Lonchura striata: one gene and its partners. The protein of the gene in region 3 interacts with the protein of the main gene of each other region in a pairwise test. Links are inferred from orthologs where the notes say so. Each region holds a gene or a part of one and is shown on either strand. Other genes may lie near its edges.

Evidence for each region.
Region 1: the proteins of EIF4A3 (region 3) and CCDC174 interact in binary tests that used the Homo sapiens proteins (3 or more experiments, as listed by UniProt). The two-hybrid records come from large-scale screens. The link is inferred for Lonchura striata from reciprocal best matches to the Homo sapiens genes EIF4A3 and CCDC174.
Region 2: the proteins of EIF4A3 (region 3) and PDCD4 interact in binary tests that used the Homo sapiens proteins (3 or more experiments, as listed by UniProt). The two-hybrid records come from large-scale screens. The link is inferred for Lonchura striata from reciprocal best matches to the Homo sapiens genes EIF4A3 and PDCD4.

What each region holds. Positions count from the first base shown.
Region 1 is NC_134614.1:15,132,993-15,140,751, reverse strand, and holds the start of CCDC174 (coiled-coil domain-containing protein 174), read right to left. Parts: upstream 3,010-7,759; 5' UTR 2,964-3,009; coding exon 2,922-2,963; intron 1,472-2,921; coding exon 1,367-1,471; intron 448-1,366; coding exon 347-447; intron 1-346. UniProt on the Homo sapiens protein: Probably involved in neuronal development.
Region 2 is NC_134609.1:23,127,930-23,135,106, forward strand, and holds the start of PDCD4 (programmed cell death protein 4), read left to right. Parts: upstream 1-4,174; 5' UTR 4,175-4,256; exon of another isoform or gene 4,257-4,305; intron 4,306-7,177. UniProt on the Homo sapiens protein: Inhibits translation initiation and cap-dependent translation. May excert its function by hindering the interaction between EIF4A1 and EIF4G. Inhibits the helicase activity of EIF4A. Modulates the activation of JUN kinase.
Region 3 is NW_027461098.1:318,057-325,654, forward strand, and holds the start of EIF4A3 (eukaryotic initiation factor 4A-III), read right to left. Parts: upstream 3,101-7,598; 5' UTR 3,042-3,100; coding exon 2,876-3,041; intron 2,656-2,875; coding exon 2,583-2,655; intron 1,838-2,582; coding exon 1,771-1,837; intron 901-1,770; coding exon 838-900; intron 409-837; coding exon 276-408; intron 1-275. Other genes in the region: uncharacterized protein LOC110474848, read left to right, coding at 5,592-5,659, 5,739-5,876, 6,095-6,233, 7,330-7,440. UniProt on the Homo sapiens protein: ATP-dependent RNA helicase. Involved in pre-mRNA splicing as component of the spliceosome. Core component of the splicing-dependent multiprotein exon junction complex (EJC) deposited at splice junctions on mRNAs.

The DNA of each region.
Region 1 (7,759 bases), on a different chromosome or scaffold from region 3:
CATTTAGAAAATGAGGTAATTCTTGAAAATGTGAGCCATTTTCTGTCAAGCCTAAGAAACACTTTGCTATAGAATTCTAACATGTCACTGCACTGGCTGGTAATTCTAAAGATGACTTTAAAAAAAATCAGTAAGCTGACATTTAGAACTGTGATAATGTGAAGTCATGAGAGCATGAGACTGCTGGGATGCAGTTTATATGCTACTGGTATAAGGTATGGATGATGCTGGAATTACTGGTTGGTCTAATGAGAACTGCTGGTCCAAAAACTTCTTTCTGTGCTTTTCTAAATACCAAAAAGCAAATTCTGCAAAGCATTTCTTCCTTACAGAGCCTAAGAGCTACCTTGATTTATCCAATATATCCTGCTCTTCTGCCTTCTGCTCAACATCTTTCGCAGCTCGATTTGCAACTCCTGTGTTCTGCTTGGTCCAGATACTTGGTTTCTGAAGAGGACAATTTTGTAACAACAAATAAATAGATTAAAATATTGAAATGGTAACAATTAAAAAAGTATTTAAACTCTATAATGTAAACAAACGCACATGAATCATGGAAGACTTTGTAAATAACATCTTATACATGTTTGACTTGAGATATTCCTGTGCTGCAGGATACAGCAGATATATCCTGAATTAACACTGGCTGCAGGATAGTATTATAGTTAAGGGCAAGCTGAGAAGGCCTTAAAAAACCCAAAGGCACTCAGAAATCAGACAAAATCTATTCTGGCAGAGATGTTAAGGTTAAAAAAACTCAATCATGCAATCTTGCTGATTAAATGCTAACAAAGCTAAAAATTGTTTCTATTCTCTATTGTCACCATTTTAGAGAAGAAATACAATCAGGTGACCTGTTTGCAGCATAACACTGTAAATGCTGCATGTGCTTCAAATATGGTAGGAACAGCACATTCAACTTCTAGAAAGCTACAGAATGAACAAAACCCAAAGTGCAGTACAGAGCAAAACAAGAGAGATAATTGTGTATTCATTATTGTACACCACAAACAGACAGCAGAGCATTTATGAATGAAATTCGGTGACTGTAGAAGAATCTCTCATCCTCCATCCTGCAGCATTATACAAAATCCTCTAATAAAAAAAGAAACAACTTTTCCTATAATCAGCCTTGGGGAATGAAGATTAAATGGGGATTTAGATGGGTAGAAGCACAAGACTAAGCTTTCTGCTGTGCACAGGAATCTCACCTAGAAATGAACTTTAAAGAATGTTCTCATCGTGTACATTTTATATTTGAATAGAAACACAGCTCTGAGTATTTGCTGTTATTTAGATTTGAATATTGACTTCCTTACTTTCAGGAGAAAGAATGACAAAAACAACAATGGAAGATTATTTTTACCTTATTAGAAGTTCTGGGCTTTGCAAAGGCACCAGCATCTTTCAACAGCTTTTCTTTCTTGAATTCCTCTTGCTTTCGGAAGAGTTCAGCTTTGAGATCTACCAGCTACACCAGCAGCAAAACACCACATAAATAACAGATCACAGGCACAGACATCAGCTACTGCAATAAACAACTGTATCTCTAGGAAAATAATCTGTTAGCTACAGTTATAGGAGCATTTGGCTGCATTTTTATATGGAACTTTGAAGCACTGATCTGATCACCAAGATCAGCTACAGCAAACAATATAAAAAAACCACAGAATGCAAATTATGATTAGGGATTAAAACAATCCCAAAAGATATCCTCGATATTTTGAGGATAAGAGAGACATAGCTCTGTCTAGATTTTACCAGCCTCCTAATGGCAAACAAATAGAGAAGGAGTAATGAAAAACACTACTGAATATGACAAAGGAACTTTTAACCATTAGATAATTAATAAACTCCTGTCTCAGGAAATAATTTATAAAAGTTTGCTATAATAAAATATGTATTTTCCCCATTGCTTTATGTACTGTTTAATAGTTTTGGATTTTCTTTCTCCTTCTTTTTAAAGAAATATATGAGTAGCATTACCATCCATTAGCAAGGTCTATCTCAGCTTTTATTAAGAAACATCATCGGCAGGGGTGTTACCTTAGGATTACAAAACTAGTTTGGAAGAGGATATTATGCTACTTTTCCTGCAAGTCCTACAGATGACAAAATTCAGAGTTGCACATTAAACCAGGAAAGTGGGTAACTTTGGTATTAATATTTCTCTCAAAAGCATTTGCTTTTCAGCTCCCTGGGACAACGAAGTGCAGTGTCTTAAAAATCACTCGTTCTCCCTTCTGCTTAGAGGTGATCATCCAGAAAGTCAATGTAAAATATTTCACAGTTAACTGTTAGCATACATTAACTATTTACATAGCTCTTCATCTGAAGTGTTTGGCAGCTCTCGTGAGCGCCCTGGAGAGCAGCGAGAGGCAGCACCTCACCATCCCTAAGGGTGGGAAGTTAATCTGCCACAGCATAGACATCCTGCTCCTTAGGAAAACTCTTTTCCCTTTTACGGCTGATTTTTAAGGCTGATTTTTAAGGCTGATTTTTTAAATCCCTTTCCCCCCCGATTTAATCATTGCATGAGGAATGCGCAAACCCAGGCCCGGCAGACTCGGGTTAGGAGCGCAGGGCGTGCGTCGGGTCAGGAAGGCGAGGGGACAAAACCCCAGCCCCGACATCTCCACACACCCGATATGCGGCCTCCCACAGCCCTTTAATGCAGCACTTGCTGCCGTGGCTACCCATGGCAGTGGGGTGAGGGCGAGGGGACAGCACCAGCCCGTCCCAGGGGAGCCGCTCCCCTGCAAGCGCCGGCACCAGCGGGTCCCCGCGTCCAGCCTCACGGCCTGCGCCGGCCAGGCCACCCCGCCCGCGGGAGCCTCGCGGCTGAGCACACCTCACAGCCCTACAAAACCTCCTGGGCAGGCGGAGAGGTTCATTTTGCCTCTCCTCGCTCAGCCACTCACCGAGGACGCGGCCACGTCCAGCGGCTTTTTCCTGCGGTCCATGGCGGGGCCGGCCCCGCTGCGCCTTCCTCGCCGGGCGGCCGCGCCGTAAAGCGCGGCGGGAGCGCGGCGCTATCGCGACAGCGCTGCTGAGAGGCCGGGCGGCGCTGCCGCCATCTTGGGGAGGTCAGGGCCGGCCGGGGCTCGGTGCGGGCCGCCCTGGCGCTGGGGCATCCCTGTGCTCAAACCGAGCGTGAAAACGAGCGTTTCTGGCGGCTGGGACCAATCCTTCAGGCGTCACACTGGAAATGTCCTCGTGCAGCCGCTGTGACAGAGCTGGGGCTGCCCTGGGCTCTGTGGGTGCCCTGGGCTCTGTGGGTGCCCTGGGCTCTGTGGGTGCCCTGGGCTGGGGGTAGCCGCTGTGGCCAGAATGTGGCAGGATTGCAGGCTGGCCCACAGCTGGGGTGGGCTCAAACGTAGTTCAAATTTGGCATCAATGTGGACTCATTACATGGTGCCAGTGTCAAGTCACGCACTGAGGTCGGGTATTTTTTATACTTTTTATTCTTGTCTGTGCAGAGTGGGGAGCTGGGTGGTGACCCATGGAAGGTTAATTCACCGATCATCCAAACTTCACACTCTATACAACTTAATAAAAGGCATCAACATTCCTTGGTTGTAGATTACTCAGCACCCCTATTTGCTAGTTCTATTTCTTGCTTCTCCTGCTGATTAGTCTGCAGGCACAATTCTTCCCTCTGTTTGATTCTGGGGCCCGTCTTCAGTAGGTGGTCAGTGAGCTCTCACGATCTCCTACTGCCAAAATCACCTTTCCCCAGGTACTGCTCAGTTCACTCTTGGTGCTTCTCATCCAGGCAGCCCATTCATTTGGGGATTGTCTTCTCTTTTTCTTAAAACAGCAGATTAGCCAAACATATGATGCTCACAATGCAATTGCTTAATCACAACCATCCAGCTATAGCTACTGATTAACACCTAAAAAAAAAGAGCGAAGTTTGACTCAACCCCCTATCAAAACCTTGAGAGCCTCATAACTTGAGGGGTTTGGTATCGTCAAGAGAAAAAAAAACCCAAAAAGCAAACCACATTAAAAAAAAAAAACCCAAACACAACCAGGAAAAAACCCAACCCAACCAACCCAATCTAAAACTCTCTTTCCTGCCTTACTTGGTGAGTGCCACAGAGATGAGACCTGAATGAAACAGCCAAGTACAAACCCACTTACATGTGATTGATCCAGCTCTGTAACCTCAGACAGGAGCACAGGTAGTCTTGGGAGTGTGTTTCGGAGTTTTAATAATACTGGGTAACTCTTTATATCATTTTTCATCCCCATGGAGAAAAAGGACTCTCTGATAGGTTTTAGTTGAAATACTGAAGATCATAGTTATCTGTGCAAGAAAAGGCTGCCTCTCACTTGTCTTTAATAAACTAGAAAAATACAAGGTGCTCTGATGTTGCTTGGCAGTGTGACAGCTGATAGAAGCACCAGAAACAGTTCTCTGAGTTTGGAAATGTATTGCTTTTGTGTTTGGCAGGCTGGGTCAGGCCCATGTTTAATAGTTTATGGAGACAGAATTGCAAAGCTGAAGGAGGTAATCAGTTGCTAAGAAAGCTGCACCTGTATTCCAGGGAGTGCAAAGTGTGCAATAGAGAAAGAACGATTTCTGCCCTGTGAAGCAATTTCTGACAGTGAAACTGTCCTGCTTTTGGCTGTTTAAAAGGGGAATTGGTGAGAGACAGCAGGGACAGAGAAGTGCAGGTCATATTAAAACCATAAAGTATTTTAATTTGCACTGGAAAAGGAGAAACACACATTACTGGAAAATAGGACAAATGTATGAAAACATCTGTGCTGTTCTAATTAAATCACACTTCAACAAATAATTTATTGTTGCCTGTTCAAACCTCACCTAGCGACAACACTGAGAAGGAAAAACAACCCAAACTCAGGCCAGGGTTGGTTCTTAAAATACTCCTTTCTGGTTGAGGATGAGATTAATCACCAAGTTTGTAAGGAAAATCTGTGCTACTGAGTTGCATGACAGGATGTGGAAAAAGGAATTAATCCTAGAAATTCCAAGCTGGCTCGTGCTGCTGTGAAGATTGGAGAGCTGGCACTTGTGTTCTTGCAAGAAGCAGTGGATTTTTCTGTGGGTAGCAGAGGTCTGGCTAGGCATGCCTGGGTTGGGAATGAGGCAGGGTTGCTGATGCTGTACAGAACCGAGTGTGTGGTGAGATAAGCTCAGCTCAGGTCCTCTCTCATGGAGCATCAGCAGGCAGGGAAAAACATGGAGCAGGACAGAGGAGAGCTCTTGTAAATGCAGGTGAACCCAATGGGAAGAAATTATGATGTCTGACTCAATTCAGAAGACTGAATTATTTATTTATTATAACTATGCTAAAATACATTAATATACTATATAAAAGGAAAATACTAATATTACTTTAACACAACTCGTGACCCTCTCTCTCTCGAGAGTCCAGACACAGGTGGATTGGATTGGCCATCAGGCTCAAACCATCCTCACCAAAATCCAATCAAGCACTCACTCCAGGTAAACAATTCTCCAAACACATTCCACATAGGAAAAACAAGGAGCAGAAATAGAAATTGTTTTCTCTTTCATTTCTCTCTGTGCACCTCTATGAAAAATCCTGAGAGTGAGAGAAATGTGCTTGCCACAGGGAGCCCTGCTCCTGCCGGAGCCGTGGGGTTGCTCTGCTGCCGGGGGATTCAGCGCTGAAGGCACACACAGACAGATGGCTTTGGGAGCACCGTGTGTCACTTCAGTGGTCTTGGATTTTCAGGCTAAGAACTGACAAGCTTCACACATATGGTTTCCTCAGAAAGGCTTCATGTCAACTCTAACCTGTGAAGGGCTATTCTGTGCATGTTTTTGATCCAGCTCACAGGAATTAATAAAATTCCAGTGAGGGAGGAATAAGAACACTTCAAAATGTGAAGTAAAACCAGCTTAACTTAAAAAAATGAGGTGGGGAAGGGGAGGAATCTGTTTCAATGTACAGTAGAGGCTCAGTGTGGCTTATTTTCATCAGGAACTTGTGAAAGCTGTATAAACTACCATGTTTGATCTCAGACTGCTGATAGCCCTGAATTCCTGGGGAATAATTGATTCCCCACTTCCAATTAGTATGTTGCTCATTTTAGAATGAGGTCTAATTGTGTTTGTTTCCACAAAGCTGCATCACCACAAAAAGTGTGTTTATTATTTTTGAGGAAGATGAGAGATCACAGTGGTTTGTTCTTAGGGTTGTTTTTTAATAAAACAGTGGTGTTTCACTGTCTCATGAATTTGGTGAGAGGTGCTGCACAAACTTGAATCAATTGCAAAGCTTTGGTGTGGATTTCTCCTACACCCCCTTACCAAAACTTGTAGGAGCACCAGACCAAATGATATTGATGTTTGAAGGTTTTGTTCTTCAGAGACTGATTATCTTATCTCAGACACTAAGGTTTCATCCTACCCTAAGGCTTTGATATTCTCTTATTTTTCTACATCTTGGCTTTAAGATGAAATAAAACTGTGAGTAAATAACAGCTGGACATTTTGTGAGATAAGCCCTAGTGCTAGGGCACTCTGTCCTCATACGCTTTCAGAGCCACTCAACATAAGACAACTCATCCATGTTCTTCTGAGGGATGCAGAAATTCCTTCTGTCTTTTTTATTTATACATTTTTCTCAGTTTCTTCATCTCAGAGTTTTTGTATGAAAGAATTTGTGTTATATCAACAAAAATATTTTTTAAAACAGTGCAAGTTTTTTAAAATTTTGCTTTCCATAGTTTGCTGGAGTATTTGTGGAATTTGTGTGTCTTAGTGTGTGTGAGGCCAAAAATGACTGTGAATCAAGCAAAACTGTTTGCAAACTAATCTTTGCAGCAGCAGTGGTCCAAAAGTTTCTTTCCTTCTAGAAAAGATTCCCAAAATCAAGTCCTAGCATATCTCTTTTTACTTACTTCTGTACATTTTCCTAAGGGGACCTGAAGAAAAGTCTAGAAGAAAAGTCTTTATATTTTTGTATTGTATTTTAAGAAGTGTGCACTTGCTCCAGCAAAACAAACAAGCAAAAAAAGAAACCAAAAGCCATTTGTGGAAACTCTGGAGGGATACTGTGAATTTTTTTCAGGAAGGCTGAAAGTTAGCTTCATTTGGGTAGGTAATTGGTAAGTGTGAAGACTAGGAGAAAAAAAATCCTAAAAGTCTGATAACTGTTTGAGATCTTTTGCATGATCTTAGGCAGAAAGTCAAAACAAGAAGAGGTATATAGTAAGTGTTCAATTGCCATGTGTGGGGTTTTTTGCCTGTTGGGTCACAAGCTGCAATGCCAGATTGCTTTTGTGCTATCTCAGTTTTGCTTGCAAACTAAAAATTAGTCAAAAAAAAAAAAAAAAGGAAAAAAAATCTAATGATGACTTAATGCTAAATTGAATGGTGATCGAAACGAGCCTTGTCCTTTTCTATGGGAACCTGCACTTTATTTTCAGTTTTATAATGCACTTGAAATCATGTCTTGTATCTACAGTGTTGCCATCTCTTCTGTCTTCATATGTGTTATGAGAGAGGGAATACTGTTATGTGCTAGTTTTATAGAAATTGTAATTCCTCTCAAATACAGCTTGAATGTAGAGATTTCCTAAGGGCATCCAACAGCTTAAATCAGAATTAGGCTTAATGTCATCTTACAACAGAATCTGTAGGAGTGACATAGTTACTGCAACCAGAATTATCTTAGAAAACTGTTATTGATAGCCATGATTTTTTTTTAGTATGCATTTTAGGAAGTTTTACTGCAAATGGACATTGTGACCCTTC
Region 2 (7,177 bases), on a different chromosome or scaffold from region 3:
CTGGGCAGTGCCCTGGCAACAGCTGGATGGGAGTAGCACCCACCCTTCCCAAGCTCTGCTCCATTCCCCAGGAGTGCTGTGCACAGGGCTGAGGGGCTGCCCTGGGAGCTCTTGTGCCTGGGGCTGCAGTCCAGCTTGCTTTGGCATGGTGTGGGGTGGGTGAGTGCAGCCAGCGACCTGGAGGGCCTGGAGGGCAAGGTGTGATGCCCCTGGGCTGAGCATGGCCACTGCAGCCCCATCTCCTGCCCGACCCCCCAGCCCACTGGCCATACACACATGGGAAGACCACAAGGACCTTCTTCAACAGGGAACAATTCAACCTCCACGCCCTGGGGGACACTACTGAGGAGCAGAGGTGCCTTTCCTTGTATCAGCACTGCAGCCAGGCTGCTGTTCTCCCATTAGCTCTGGCTCCAGTGCAGGTGCAGCAGCACTGGCTCCCTCCAGACCAGGTGGGCCAGCCTGCCAAGGAGCCTGGACACACTTCAGACACCTGCCAGGACATCAGGAGGTGTTGTGCTCTTTGGCCAGCACAGCGGGCTGGGCTGTGGAAGGCACTGGGTGCCAAACCTTTATGCCCTGCAGAAGCAGAACTGACAATACCTAGTCCTTGTATGCTGACACTTTTCTGTCTTCAGGCCAGTGCTAAGACTTAGGGACAGTGTCCTTTTTTCTGGGAGGAAAGTCAGAAGGAGGGAGAGGAGAGGTGGAGAAAAAAGCAGACCTAAAATTGGGTGAAGAAAAGCATGCAGACATTTAGACCTCAGTGGTCAGGAAAACACCTTGGCTGAGTCTCTTGCCCCAGTGAGGTAAAACACCTTGTTACTGTTTACTACAAAAGGTGACTGGCACAGTTATATTTATAAGGTTAAAAAAAAAAATCTAAAAGACCAGCTACTTCTGTTCCACCACTGAACTACTTATTTTTACCCTAGAACTATAATGAAAATCCACTCTGGTCAAATTTTTTCTGGGACACTTGAGATGCTGCAGGTTTTTTAGTCATAAACAGTACCCTGTTCAAAATATTATGTCCCATTTATGAAGGCAGGCGTGACTGATACAGCTTCCGAGTTCCAAGGGGCATATTTAAATAAGTAACAGGAACTAATCCATATAGTCAGCTTTCCTTAGGAGCCTGGGGATTTGCATGTCTAAATTTCACTGCGATGAGACTCCAGGATAGGGGATAAAACTCTAGTTAACTTCACTGGAGATAAAACCCAGGCAAGGGCAAAAGCTTGGAGACAGATGTTGCAGTTGAATGAATTTATACCTCAGAAATGCTACTTAGAATGAACAGTCATTGCAAGGAATAATTTTAAAAAGCAAAAGAATCGATTTGGTATAAAAGCTATGTCTCCAAAGGGAGTCAGAGTTCTGTCTTTTAAAGGACATTAATAAAAAATGGGGAAAAGTTTTTCCTCATTGCATATGGCTGAAGAAAACAGGAGGAAGAAGAAATTATAGGGCATAGAGGTTAATATGCATTGGGTATGTGCAAAAGCCAAACTCATTCTTTGCTTTAACTTTTGCTGAGGATGTTAATCATGTGGCTGCAGATGTGAGGGATAATAGGATGGGGGTATGGAAATGTTTGTGGCCGGGATAAAAGCAAATCTCAGGGCTGCTTCCTGCGCTGAAGGCAGAGGAACGGGCTAATCCACATGCCAGAGCTCTGGAAGAACTGGCCCGATGTCTTTAACAGGTCCCTCAGCCAGGGACAGCAGCACAGCAAACCTGTACAGAAGTGAACTGATTTGGGCAAGAAGAGGCATGAAGGTTTCAGCTTAATAGCATAAGGACAGATTCAGAAAAAAAATGGTGAAGGAAAGGCTAACAAAAGAGAGGGAGGTAAATGGCATGAGATGAAATGGTTTTATCAAACCCATTTATCTTTCTTGGGAAAGGCAAGCTGCAAGCCATTTGCTTAGTGAAGGAAATGGGATGGATCTCACCTCTCTGGACTTACATTGCACATTTCATATGGTGCCACATGGAAAGTTCTTAAGAAGAGGGAGAGGTGATTTTGCACAAGGTATAACCCCCCCTTAAAGCTGTAAAGAGATGTGGCATAAGAACAGCAGGGCTGTCAGGCTGGAGAGTAGTTACCAGGAGAGTGTTAAGCATCACTGTAGATCTGGCAAAGTGCTTTTGTAAATGGGCTTGGCACTAGTGTTACTGGAGAACTGGTGAATTTGCTGATGACAGAAAATATGAAGTAACCTCAGGAAAAAGGAGGCTTGAAATATTACACAGAGAAAGGTAGATAGCAGAAAGTGCTGGTCATAGGTACAAATGACCAAAGCCTTTCCTACAAGCTCCCTGGCAGCTCACACTCTGATCACCAAGTAACTGACTTGCCAACAGTGGAAATAGGAAGTGAGAAATGCAGTCCTGGAAGGCAGCAGGAGAGGTGCAGCCCAGGCTGCACTGAAGGCTGGGGTGAGCTTGAGCAGAGGCTATCTCACTTCATTTTGCAAAGCAAATACTGTGAGCATGAGGTTTTCTCTGCATAAATACTCCCGGGAAGGGAAGAGAGGAGAGCTGATGGTGCTAAGGGCCAGTGCTGGTAACAGAATAAATGATCAAAAGGAGCCATCAGACATTTTGATTAGGAGACCATTACTAACCATTTGACAATGTGGTTCTAGAATGTCTTCCCCACTGCAGTTGTCCATGCAAAATATTGAACTGCTTTGAGGATGGAACTTGGCAAGGTCATGATAAGGATATAAATCACATGGCGCCTTTGATAGGAGACCTGATAGCACAGAAGTTCCTGCCAGTCCTAAGCACAAAGGTAAATGTTCTGTAAGCCCCTGTCCATGTAAATATAGAGCATGTGATTATATACACACAAAAAGCAGGCACATGATTTATTAATCACAGGACCGCAGCTTGTCAAATAATAATTACAAGGCAATAACACACCTTGTTCTAATAAATGGCTTCCTAAGATTTTCTCCCACAGTAAACCAGTAAAAAGGGACAATTATTCTGAGGTAGAGGTGGCATTTTGTGTTTCTGGTTGTTAGCTTTTAAATGAACTCACCGTCTGGAACTCAAATCAAGTTCTTCCATTTTTCTGCACATTTCACAAGTTCAGCCCTTTCCAGTAAAGCGTCTTTTCAGATGCGTGATTGCCCTTTGTTAAGGCAAGAATGAACAGATGACAGCGGCAGCACGGAGGAGACATGCCTGGAACAGTTTACCGGGGCGATCCCACTGCTGCCGCTGCCAGGAGGGTGTACTCAGAGCCCCGAACAGGGCAGGCTGCTTGTGCAATGTGAGGGGCAAGTCCTGGGAAGCCACGAGAGAGACAGGCAGGCAGTGTTTCGGGGAAGTGTTTATGCAAAGCCACGGCAGCGGGTGACCCTTCGGTCTCCGCGCCTGGGCAAACGCAGCGCGGTCCCTCCCCAGCTCCGCAGGGCGCCCAGCCCCGACGGGCGCTGCGCAGCCAGGTCTGCAGCACAGCCCCGCTCCCAGCGCCCGCATCGAGCTGCGCGAGGATGTTCGAAAGCAGCTCGCATTACTGAGCATTTAAAAAAGTGAAGGCGTGTTTTTGTACCCTTTCAACCTGGAGCTGACGCTGCCTGATGAAAAAGAATGGGTTTGCTGTGTTTGCAGTTCACTTCGTGAAGGCACCTTAGCAGAAGATGCAAAAATAAAAGTAGTCTGAAGGGAAAGAAAGCAGAAGGCCAAGAGACAGGCAACTGAACAGAGCAGATTGATTTAACAGATATGATACATTTTTGCTGTCTGCATTATGTGTGGAAATTCGTATTCCAAGTGACACAGTAACAGACTCGACTGTAACCAAACAGCTCTGCTGAGGTGTCAGGAGCACAGATGCTGCCTATCGAAAATATTTAAAACAGAAAGTAAAACTTTGAAAAATCCGCGGTGGGGAGTGCAAGGGAAATAAACGTTCGGTAGTGTTTCTAACCCAAGGCAACTTCTCTCGGCTTTCGCTGCTCTCTCTGGTGCGGGAGGTCGGAAGCAGCTCAGCCAGCGCTCGGTGAGCAGCAAAGGCCAGCCCGGCCCGGGCAGCGGAGCCACGCGGTGCCCAGCGTGCGGGGGAAGGGCTGCTCCCCGCGCTTTGGGGAGCTCCAGCCAATGGATCCCTCCCCTGGGTGTTACGGGAGGGCTTGGCCTGCCTCTGAGAAAGGGAGGGCAGAGTTTGAAAACAACTCGAAGGAAGGAAGGCTGCTCGAAAGTGACCTGCTCGCCTCCGTGCAAGCATTTCGCTCCAGGTGATCGGCGGCTGTAGGGGTGGAAGCGCAGAGGGGCCGGGCGGCACAGGTAACCCGGGGTGCAGGTGTCGGGCGGCGGCTCCGGCTGGACACCCCGCGCTGGCTGCCTCGAGCTGCAAATCCACCACAAACGCTCCAAAGATTTTGACTGTGGTGTTTTTTTTTTTTTTAAATGTCAGGAGGAATTTTGCTGTTTTGTTTTCATGAGGATTTTTGATCGTGTGTTTGCTATTAATATGTCTAGGGGAGGGAGCGAGTAGGTCTCTACAGCTCAGAGGTTAGCATGTGATCAGCTGTTTTCTTGTTGTTGCAGGCAGGTTTGAGGTTAAAAAGGGAAAAAGAGGTGATGTCTTTTAGTAGGCTGGTTGATACAATGGAAAAATACAAGTTATCTTTCATGCACATAAGCTCTTTTTCAGGTCATAGTGCTTCAGAAATCAGATGAGATTTTCAGTGATTGATAACCCACGTGCTAATAGAGATATACAGCAGAAGAAAGAAAAAAACACGCAATTTTGTTGTCTGGAGGTGTGCTGGATGGTTTGGGGGTTTTCCTCTTCTTTTGACCTCTGATCCAGCTTTTAGGCTTCTTGGAAGTGAATCAGCCCTAAACTTTAGTAGAAAATCCTTTAGCAATTTTCCATGGCGCTTTAAAAGGTGTAATTGGCATGATGCCATATTTTGTGCCATCTTCTCTTGTGCAGGTTCTGGCTACTGTTTCAGTCTCTCTGTCACCTCTTTCTTTACTGAAAAATCTCTTTAAAGCCCCACTCTGCCTTGCAGGGAAAGCTAAATTCCATGGTGAATGTTAATAGGTAGAATTTCTTTTCCAAATCCTGGTGATGACACTGTGGTAGTTTGCTTGGTACGCACGAGTCAGCAGAGGTGCAGAGAGCAAACTAGGAACTATTTTTTGATTGATGGGGAAACAACATCTTTTAAAGCTGCCTCTAGGTTGCATGTGAAAAAAATCTTGTGTGAGCATGTTGGACTGTTCCGACATGAAAAAGTCTGCAATTTAATGCCTTCATGAGCAAGAAAGGTTTTCTTTCTGTCATTTAGCTGGTGGGGGAAGTATCATGAAAACATGGCAATCGTGCTGCACATTCTTTTAACAGATAGTTGTTGTTTTAGATCTTAAATCTATTTTGGATGATTCATGCAGAGCCAGGCCAGTAAATTAATTCAGAGGCTCTTACACAAGGGAACTTTGGCTTTTATTTCAGTCAGAAGAGTACCAATCAGGAGTGGAATTATACAGGAAAAATATTTAATAACACTACAAAAGTCAAGTCATAATCTGGTTAACTGGGGAGGTTTCTCTCACTGGCAGCTGGAAAATCCTGCAGTGCACAAATACCAAAGCAGAAGTGATCTGTATTTGCTTCCCTCATTGCTTGGGCTCTCTGGAGTGACAAATTAGGGAGAAAACAAAGGGTGAGCTGAGTTTTGAGGAGAGACCTGAACGGAGGCAAAGCACAATTAGAGGAGACTGTCATCTCTAATTAGGTGTGTGCCCTCAGGCAGTTGGTATAAAAGTAAACTAAAACAAGGTGGGAAGTTTGGAAGGACATGCACAGCCTGGCTGTCAATCCCAAACCTGATCCTCAAACGTGTGTGAAGCTTTCCCAAGGGGGGGAAGGCGGCAGCTCTGCCCGCCGGGGGCCGAGCAGCAGGAATGCCGCCGGCCAGCTGCGGTGCTGCCCGGCACCCTGCCCCGCACCCTGCCCCTCACCGAGCCCCGCACCCAGCCCCGCACCCTGCCCCGCACCCTGCCCCGCACCCAGCCCCTCATCCGCCCCGCACCCTGCCCCGCACCGAGCCCCGCACCCAGCCCCGCACCCTGCCCCGCACCCTGCCCCTCACCCTGCCCCGCACCGAGCCCCGCACCCTGCCCCGCACCCTGCCCCTCACCCTGCCCCGCACCGAGCCCCGCACCGAGCCCCGCACCCTGCCCCGCACCCTGCCCCGCACCGAGCCCCGCACCCAGCCCCGCACCCTGCCCCGCACCGAGCCCCGCACCCAGCCCCGCACCCTGCCCCTCATCCGCCCCGCACCCTGCCCCGCACCCTGCCCCGCACCGAGCCCCGCACCCAGCCCCTCACCCTGCCCCGCACCCTGCCCCTCACCCTGCCCCGCACCGAGCCCCGCACCCAGCCCCGCACCCTGCCCCTCATCCGCCCCGCACCCTGCCCCGCACCCAGCCCCGCACCGAGCCCCGCACCCTGCCCCTCATCCTGCCCCGCACCCAGCCCCGCACCCAGCCCCGCACCGAGCCCTGCACCCAGCCCCTCATCCTGCCCCGCACCCAGCCCCTCATCCTGCCCCGCACCCAGCCCCTCATCCTGCCCCGCACCCAGCCCCTTATCCTGCCCCTCATCCTGCCCCGCACCCAGCCCCGCGCTGAGGGAAGGGCTTGGGCGGGCAGGCAGCCAAAGGCCCGAGCTCCCCTTGTCAGCAGAGAGAAACACACGCCGATAAGAGTTAACAGATTCTTTTTTCTGATGGCTTTGATGCTTCGGAAAAGGAAGAAAAATTGGCTTTTAATTAAATTAGTAGGCCAGCACGTGGAGGAGGAACCAGGCACAGCTGCCCCGGTGCCAGCACCCAGCACCCCCAGGCGGGATGTGGGGAGCCGTTCTCCCGCATCCCGGGGCCGCCGCTTCGCCCGGCCCTGCCCCTGGAAGGGCTCGGGCGGCGCTGTCCCGGTGCAGGTGGCACTGTCCCGGTCCCGGTGGCGCTGTCCCGGTCCCGGTGGCACTGTCCCGGTCCCGGTCCCGGTGTGGCCGCCCCGCGCCGTGTCCCACAGGGACATGGAGGAACGGCTCAGGCGCCCTCACCCCCGCCCCCCGCACCAATGGCTCCTTCCCGCTCGCACCCCCCGGACCCACTCGCGATGGTCTCGCCCTCCCCGCTCTCCC
Region 3 (7,598 bases):
GATGGAGCAACCACCAGTGCACAGAAAATGTGGGTTTAATTTTGGCATTCATGTAGGCATGGCTCCTATCCCCTTGAAGATTCAGGGACTGTAATACTTTCTCCTTTTTCCAAAGCCACCACATAAAGAGTCACCTCAACAATGGAAAGCAAAGCCTAAAGAGAGAAAATAAAAACCCCACCAGCACTAATTTCCCTCTAGTTTTCACAACAGCAGTAAGTTGTTACCCTGTCACACCTCACCTCCGTGTTACAGTAAGGTCAGGATTCCCTTACCGAACACCCGGCCTGGAGTGCCAGCCACCACGTGCTGCCCGTAGTCCAGCTTGCGGATATCCTCGCCCACGTTGGTGCCCCCGATGCAGGCGTGGCACTGCACGTTCATGTAGTCTCCCAGGGCGAGAAGGCCCTGTCAGGGCACAAAGACACGGCCTCACTGCCCGGCTCTCCCCAGGCCACACTTGTGAGGAGATGCTGGCCTGTGCAGCCACAACGTGGGCTTTCTAAAGAGATGGCAGCACAAGGATTCCTGTAACGTCTGGTACCCAAATCGCCACAGCAGCGGCCTTAAAACACTGGGAACTCAGTTCCTCAGGGATCACAACTGCTTTAGAAGCGCTGACCTTAAAAACTCAGGGCTGTGCAAAACCTCAGACTGCCAGAGTAATGAATGTAACACTGAGGAGCAAAGGACCCTGTATCAGATGATACTTTGCTATTTCTCTCGGGAACAGAAAGAAAAAGTGGAAGCTGTGCTTTGAGCTCTGCTAGAGAAACACCAGAGCACTGGCCCCGGGCCTTGCCAGTGCTCTCCAGACAAGGATGGAAATGCTCCTACCTTCTGGATCTGCACAGCCAGCTCCCGAGTTGGTGCCAGGATCAAGGCTTGGGTCTCACGAACCTGGTTAAAGCACAGAATCACAAGCAAGTTAATCACAGGCCAGCCAGAGAGCCAGGCATGGAAGAGGTGATGGATCTCACAGAATCGAAGCTGTGAGGTGTCACAGCTGAAGGATTTAGCACAGAATTTTGTGCTAAAAAAAAAAAAAAAAGGTGTGTACATGTCTTGCAAAATAGAAACAAATCTCAAGTCCTTCAGCCCTGTGTGTTTGGTTCAGATAAACACTTTGCACTGCTCAAGGATTCCTAGACAAAGTTTTGAAGTGTCACCTGTAAAAGTATTATGAGCACTTTACAGAAGTAAAGCAAAAGCTGTCTTTTCCACTTAGAACATGCAACCTTAATTTTTATGTCACCCGACAGTGACAGATGAGTGACAATCCCAGCCACTGAAAATCACCCTTTTATTCAATTGCATCTGCATATCCAACTTATACCCCAAAACGACTGGACGGACATTATGCCCCTGAGCAGAACAAGAGCAAACAGCTGTCAGTCAAAAACCTAGATTTGATTCTGTGCAACGTGTGGCACTTGTCCAGACAGGCTGGTGATGCTATTAGGACTGTCTGAAGACAATTCTGCTTGCTGAGGGATTAACTTAGCCCTAAGAGGTGAAAGAGGTCAGTTGTTAAAGACAACTTTATCATTACAAGACGTCATCTGAACTTATTTTGCCAGACTGGCTTTAACAGTTAAATTGTTATAGTTTGGTGAAGTTCTCAGTCAGAATTCTGTCTGAGGTTTACTGCCTGTAATTAAAAGACTTTGAAGTAAAGCTTCATTAATTCACTCTTAAAGAACACACTTTCATGATGAAGACCAGCGATCTAGTAAGAATTACTTTTAGCATGTGCTGCTATGAGCTTACCTGTATATCCAGGCACTGCAGAACAGATATGGAGAATGTTGCTGTCTTCCCTGTTCCCGACTGTGACCTGAGAAAACGTGTTTGGTGAGTACTCTGCATGTGTGCACAAACAGCACAGGCAATCTCAACACATCCCACCCCTCCACTGCAAAGAATTCAACAGTGCCAACGAAGGGTTTATGTTGTTATGATCAGAGCGTGATCTGCAGCTTTGAGAACTGCAATGCCAGGGACAGAACACTCCAAGGTCCCCAGCTCTGGCACCTTCACTCCTTATCAGACCAGCACTTTAACTTTCTGCCATCTGCCACACACACTTTTTTACAGGCAAATGACTTGTAAAGCCAATGCAATTTGCAAGGCTAGTAATTTGCACTAGTGAGCAAGAAAGAATTTTTTTCAGTGGGATGCATATCCTTCTTTGTCTCTAAGAGATATTTTTTACAGTAACTAAACCTAATAAACTTTGTTTTGCTTGTCACATTATAACACCACAGAACAGTTTGAATTGGAAGGGAATTAAACAACATCTAGCTCCATACGCCACCCTGCCATGGGAGGGGACACTTCCCACTAGACCAGGCTGCCCAGGGTCCCATCCAGCACTTTACAGAAAGTAAAGCCCCCTGGCCCTGGGCCTTTCCAAGGACGTGACATCCACAGTTGCTCTGGCCAGCCTGTCTCCGTGTCCCAGCCATTTCAGGTCACTCCCCACATCCCGCCAGGCACCGGCCCAGGCGCACGGGAGCGGATCCCGCTCTAGCCTCGAGGAATGTGCACGGCATCCCCCGCCGCAGCCCGGCCGCACTCACTGGGCGATCACGTCCCTGCCCTTGATGATCTGCTTGATGGCTCGCTGCTGGATGGCCGACGGCTTCTCGAACCCTGCGGGGGCCAAGGGACACGGTCACGGCGGGCCCCGCATCCGGGCCTGCCCCGGCCCGCGAACGCGCCCGGCCCTCAGCTGGGCCCCCCTGCCCTCAGCTGGGCCCCCCTGCCCTCAGCTGGGCCCCCCTGCCCTCAGCTCACTCTCCCGGCCCTCAGCTCACCCTCCCTGCCCTCAGCTCGGCCCCCCGGCCCTTCCTCGTTCGACTCCGCCGCCCACCGTAGGCGTAGATGCCGCGCAGCAGGTCCTCCCGCAGGCCCATGGTGTCGAAGGTGGGCGTCACGTCCACCTCCTCGCTGGTCTCGAACTCCACCTTGGTCATGTCCTCCTCCTTCATGAGGCGCTTCCGCGCCGAGCCGCCCGCGGACCCCGCGGACCCCGCCATGGCCGCACAACGCCCGCCGCGCGCCCGCCGCGCCTCTGCGCCTGCGCCTCTGCGCCTGCGCGGCCGCGCCTCTGCGCCTGCGCGGCCACGGGGCGGGCGGCCGCGGCGCGGGGCGCGGCGCGCGCGTGCGCCTGCGCGGGGGCGGCGGGGCGCGCGCGCGGGAGCGCGGCACGGGCGGGCCGGAGCGACTGCGGAGAGCGAGGGACCTTTAGCTGCCCCCACGGCAAAGTTGTTCCGCCCGCCTGAGGTGGGACCTCGTGTTTCAGTTTATGGCCACTGGAAAGAGCCTGGCACCATCCTCATGGCGCCTGCCTTTGAGATATTTGCATGTACTGAGGGAGTTCCCTCTCCGTCTTCTCTCCACACTAAACAGGCCCTGCCCCCTCCACCTTCCCTCATGAGGGGAGGTCAGTGCTACCATCATCACCTCTGTCACACTCCGCTGGACCCTCGCCGGGAGCTCCCTGCCTTTCTCGCCCTGAGGAGCCCAGAACTGGCCGCAGCACGGCAGGAGGAGCTGGGCAAGGAGGCGCCGGCAGCTCCCGCGGCCTCCTGCGCCGCTCCTCCCGCTTCCCCCGGGCGCATGCGCGGGGCGGCGGGGCCGAGGGGAGCCCGCAGGAGCCCGACTGGGCCGGGCCGGGCCGGGCCGAGCTGAGCGGAGCCGAGCTGAGCGGAGCCGAGCCGGGCCGGGCCGGGCCGAGCGGAGCCGAGCCGATGCTGCAGTGCCGCGTCCCCGGGGATGCATAGCCCCGTTCCCACGGTATGTCAGTGCCTCCCAAGCAGCCAAGACTCAGCGGCTCCGTGGCATGAGGTTTGTAAAAAGGATTCTGGTTGATGGCCTTGATCCGCAGCTCCGTGAGGTGATTTCCACTAACCTTGGGTAAGGAGCAATTAATTCCTTGCCAGGCCCCTGCACAGGACAGTTCGTTCGTGTTTAATGCTTTAATGCAATCCTGTAGGGAATCCAGACATCACACACTTAGAAGGGTTTCTCCATCCATTTTCCCGTGGTCCCCCACCAACCAACCAACCCCAAAAAAAAACAAAAAAGGAGGATCAGGTTTTACTGAGAATAATTCAGGCCAAGATACTTCTTTTCACAGATGGGTGATTCCACAGGATTCAGTCAGGCACCTGAGGGTGCTGACCTGGGGAGAGTTCTGCAAGACAGTTTTTAGATGTGGTCTGTACTGGAGCCACTGCGTGGTGACTGAAAGGCTCCCTTGGGAACTGCCTGAGAAGGAGCAATTCCTGCCTAAGTGGTGTGGGATTGTAAAACAAGACAACAGGGGGCTGTTGAGCCTGTTCTTTTTATGGGATGGAGAGGGGTGCACATCCTAGGAGAGGAAAAAACATCACCCCAGTTCTAATATTGACTTCAGGAATGCTGATGTCTCTGCACCTCACATGTAACACAGATTGTCCTCTTTTTAGTGCATGGACAAGCTTCATCCACTTTTGTTTGTTTGTTTGATGTAAAATACTTCTTTCTCCTTAGTGTATTCAGATCCAAGGACTGGCAGGGCATTTGCTTTTGAAGTAACACCACATGAACGTACTAAGTTGGAAGTGAATCTCTGCTTACCCTGACAGCCAGGACAGCTCAATCCAGGATCCTGACCAAAAAAAAAAAAAAAAGTCATTCTTTTGGCTTAAGACTTTGAGGTAACAGCTCTCTGAAGACTGGCTTCTTCCAAACTTGGTACAAAATTGGTGCTTTTGGAAATGTTGTGAGTTCTGTATCAGCTTTCTGGGTTCTGCTCTTTGTTCAAATAAAATGTTGGTTGTCAGTCCCCACCTGACAGTTTTCACAAGACCCTGTAAGTGATACAGCTTTCAGTGCTGGCCTTTCTGTGGATTCTGGGTGTTGATGGGTCAGCAAGGAGGCCAAACTGAATGGCCTGGGCCTGCAAACTGGCTCTTGTAGCTGCCAGGAGGGTAGCTCAGGACATCTCCCTCCTGGCAGCCTGGGGTTGTTTCTAAAATGTTCTTCAGTATTGATTTGATCTCTGAAGCTTCCCTTTGGTATTGAAAACCATCAGTTTGGCCCCACTGACTTATTCCTGCTGTTTTTTTCCTCAGCATCAGAGGAAGCAGCCTGTCCTTCTGGCCAAGCTACCTGGGCCCACATCACTTCTCCAGCCTCAGCAAAGACGCTGGATTTGCCGAGCCTCAACTTGTCATTGCCACCTGAGCCCTGGAAGGACTTAGAGGAGATCCTCAGGGTCCCTGGTTCTGCCTGGATCAGTGGTGGTGGGTGACGTGAGCAACTGCCCAGGGTGGGAGAAGCGCTTGCAGCCAGGTTCAGGATGGGTTTGGTCACCCCAGAGCTGAGGGAATGTGGGGGTGGATGTGATCTAGGCTTATCTGTGAGATGGGGGGGCATCCCTGGAAGACTGGAGGGTGGTCAGATGGTGTGACAACAGAAATGCTGCTGGAACTGTTAGAAGAGGGAGGAAGTGATCTCAGTCTGTCATTGCAGAGGCGGAGCAGCAGCACGGAGGAGCAGGAGAGCCTGCAGGGCTGCCTGCAGCTTTGGACACCACACTCATGGTCCCCAGCAGTGGCCTCCAGCATGCAGCTGGCACCTCCTACAGATACAAACTGCAGTGCCTCTGGTAGGGGCTCTGCTTCCCTGAGGGCCCTTCTGTGGGCTGCCTGAGGGGTCTCTTCATGCCCTGCTCGATGTGTCTGCAGGAGCCAGGTGAGGCAGATCGCCAGGGAGAGGGACAAGGCGAGGCTTGGTTTGGAGAAGGCAGAGAGACACTGCCAGCAGCTGGGCAGGGAGCTGGATGAGCAGTGCATCGCTCTGGAGCACACCCAGAGCAAGCTCAGGTAGGAGGGCTTCTTTTGGTGGGGTGGAGAAAATGTGCCTACACATCCCTTTTGAATCTCCCACTCGTTTTGCCAATGTGTCAGTGGCAGGAAAGTCCTTGAAGACCCCTCTCCACCCCTGTGATCTCGGCATCCTTCCAACAAAGCTCTCATCTCCTGCTTGTGGCCATCCAGGAACATGCTCTGTCTGTCCCAACCGTGTTGCTTTTTTGCCCCAGGAATTTTCAGGCAGAAATGGAGGCAAAAGAGCTGCTTTTGCAGCAAGCAGTGAGTCACCAGGCAAAGCTGGAGGCTGCTACACGGCTCCTCCAGGGCAAAGAGGCCAACCTGCAAGGGAGACTCAACCATGTGATGAATGTAAGTACAGCTGCCTTGGATTAAACACCTTCTCTCTTTCAGAGGTGGAAAAGCAGGGGTGGTGACAAATATAGATGGTTCACTTTGCTCTTGTTGGGAATAACAGAAATTTTATGCAGAAGAATCATCAGCCACATCCATACAGTTGCATTAAATACAGAGCTTGTTACCTTTCCATGCCATTACTAAACTGCTGTGTTGTCTGTTGGCAGTGATTTGGCCCTTGGTAACACCTAAAACACAGTGACCAAAGCTAAAATTGTGCCAGGGACCATGTCAACGGCAGAGATGATGGTGTGTGCATGCCTGGGATTGCCACAGTTCTGGTCAATGTAGAAGTACAGATGGAGATAGCTCAGGACTTGCTGCCTTTGTTAGCTGTGAGGGAAAGCACAATTTTGGGGAGCAGAGGTAGAGATGATCTGTGGGGCTGTCTAGCTCTTACTGTGCAAAACCCACTCCTGTCCTTTGGAGAGATGAGCCCATGTGGTATCAGCAATGTGCTTCCTGTCGTGGTTTAGGAGTGGCGCTCCCCAATTTTGTTCTCTTACCAAGACTCCCCAAACCACACTGCTGCTTGCTCACTCCCTCTCCCCACTTTTCAGTGGCTGGAGAGGAGAATGGGAGGCACAAAAGGAAAATACCATGGGTCAAGATAAGCACAATTTACTGGAAACAGCAGTGAGATAAGAAACAACCAGTGACAGCAAAAATATTAGCAACAAAAGTTTACAAAAGAGAGAGTGATTTACAAACAAAATGCTCATTGCAGACTAGCCACATTTTCTCTGGAAGGCATCTCCTTCTCCCTGGAACTGAGAGAGAGTGCCTTCCCTCTGTCCCCAGCAATGAATGAGGTGGTACAGAATAACATCTGGGCCTTAGCCACATCCCCTCCTGGTCACTGCAAAAACCAACCCTGTCCTGGCCAAAACCAGGCCATGTCCAGGGTCTCCTGGGAGCTGTGCTGTGTTTGGCCTGTTGGTGTGCCAGTTGTTTTACTGTCATCCTGTCCGTGCTGAGGACCTGTGGCTGAAAAGCCCACCCTGCCGTATCAGGACCCACTGCCTCAGGGAAATCTCAATTTTATCTGCAGGAGAACACACAGCTACAAAACAAGGTCACAGAGATGGCTGAGAAGCTGTCAGCCTCTGAGGAAATGGTGTTGGAGCTGCAAAAAGAACTCAACCACATTGTGAAGGATAAGGTAACCTTTCTCTGTTGAGTCAAATAACTTTTCAGAAATTCATAAAACATTTGATCTTGCATATTTTGTGTCAGTTTCTATGGTGTCCTCCTGTGTGAGCTCTCCTGTGCTTTAATGACAACCTAGAAGCTGGGGAAAAAAAAAAAGGTGTGAGGAAA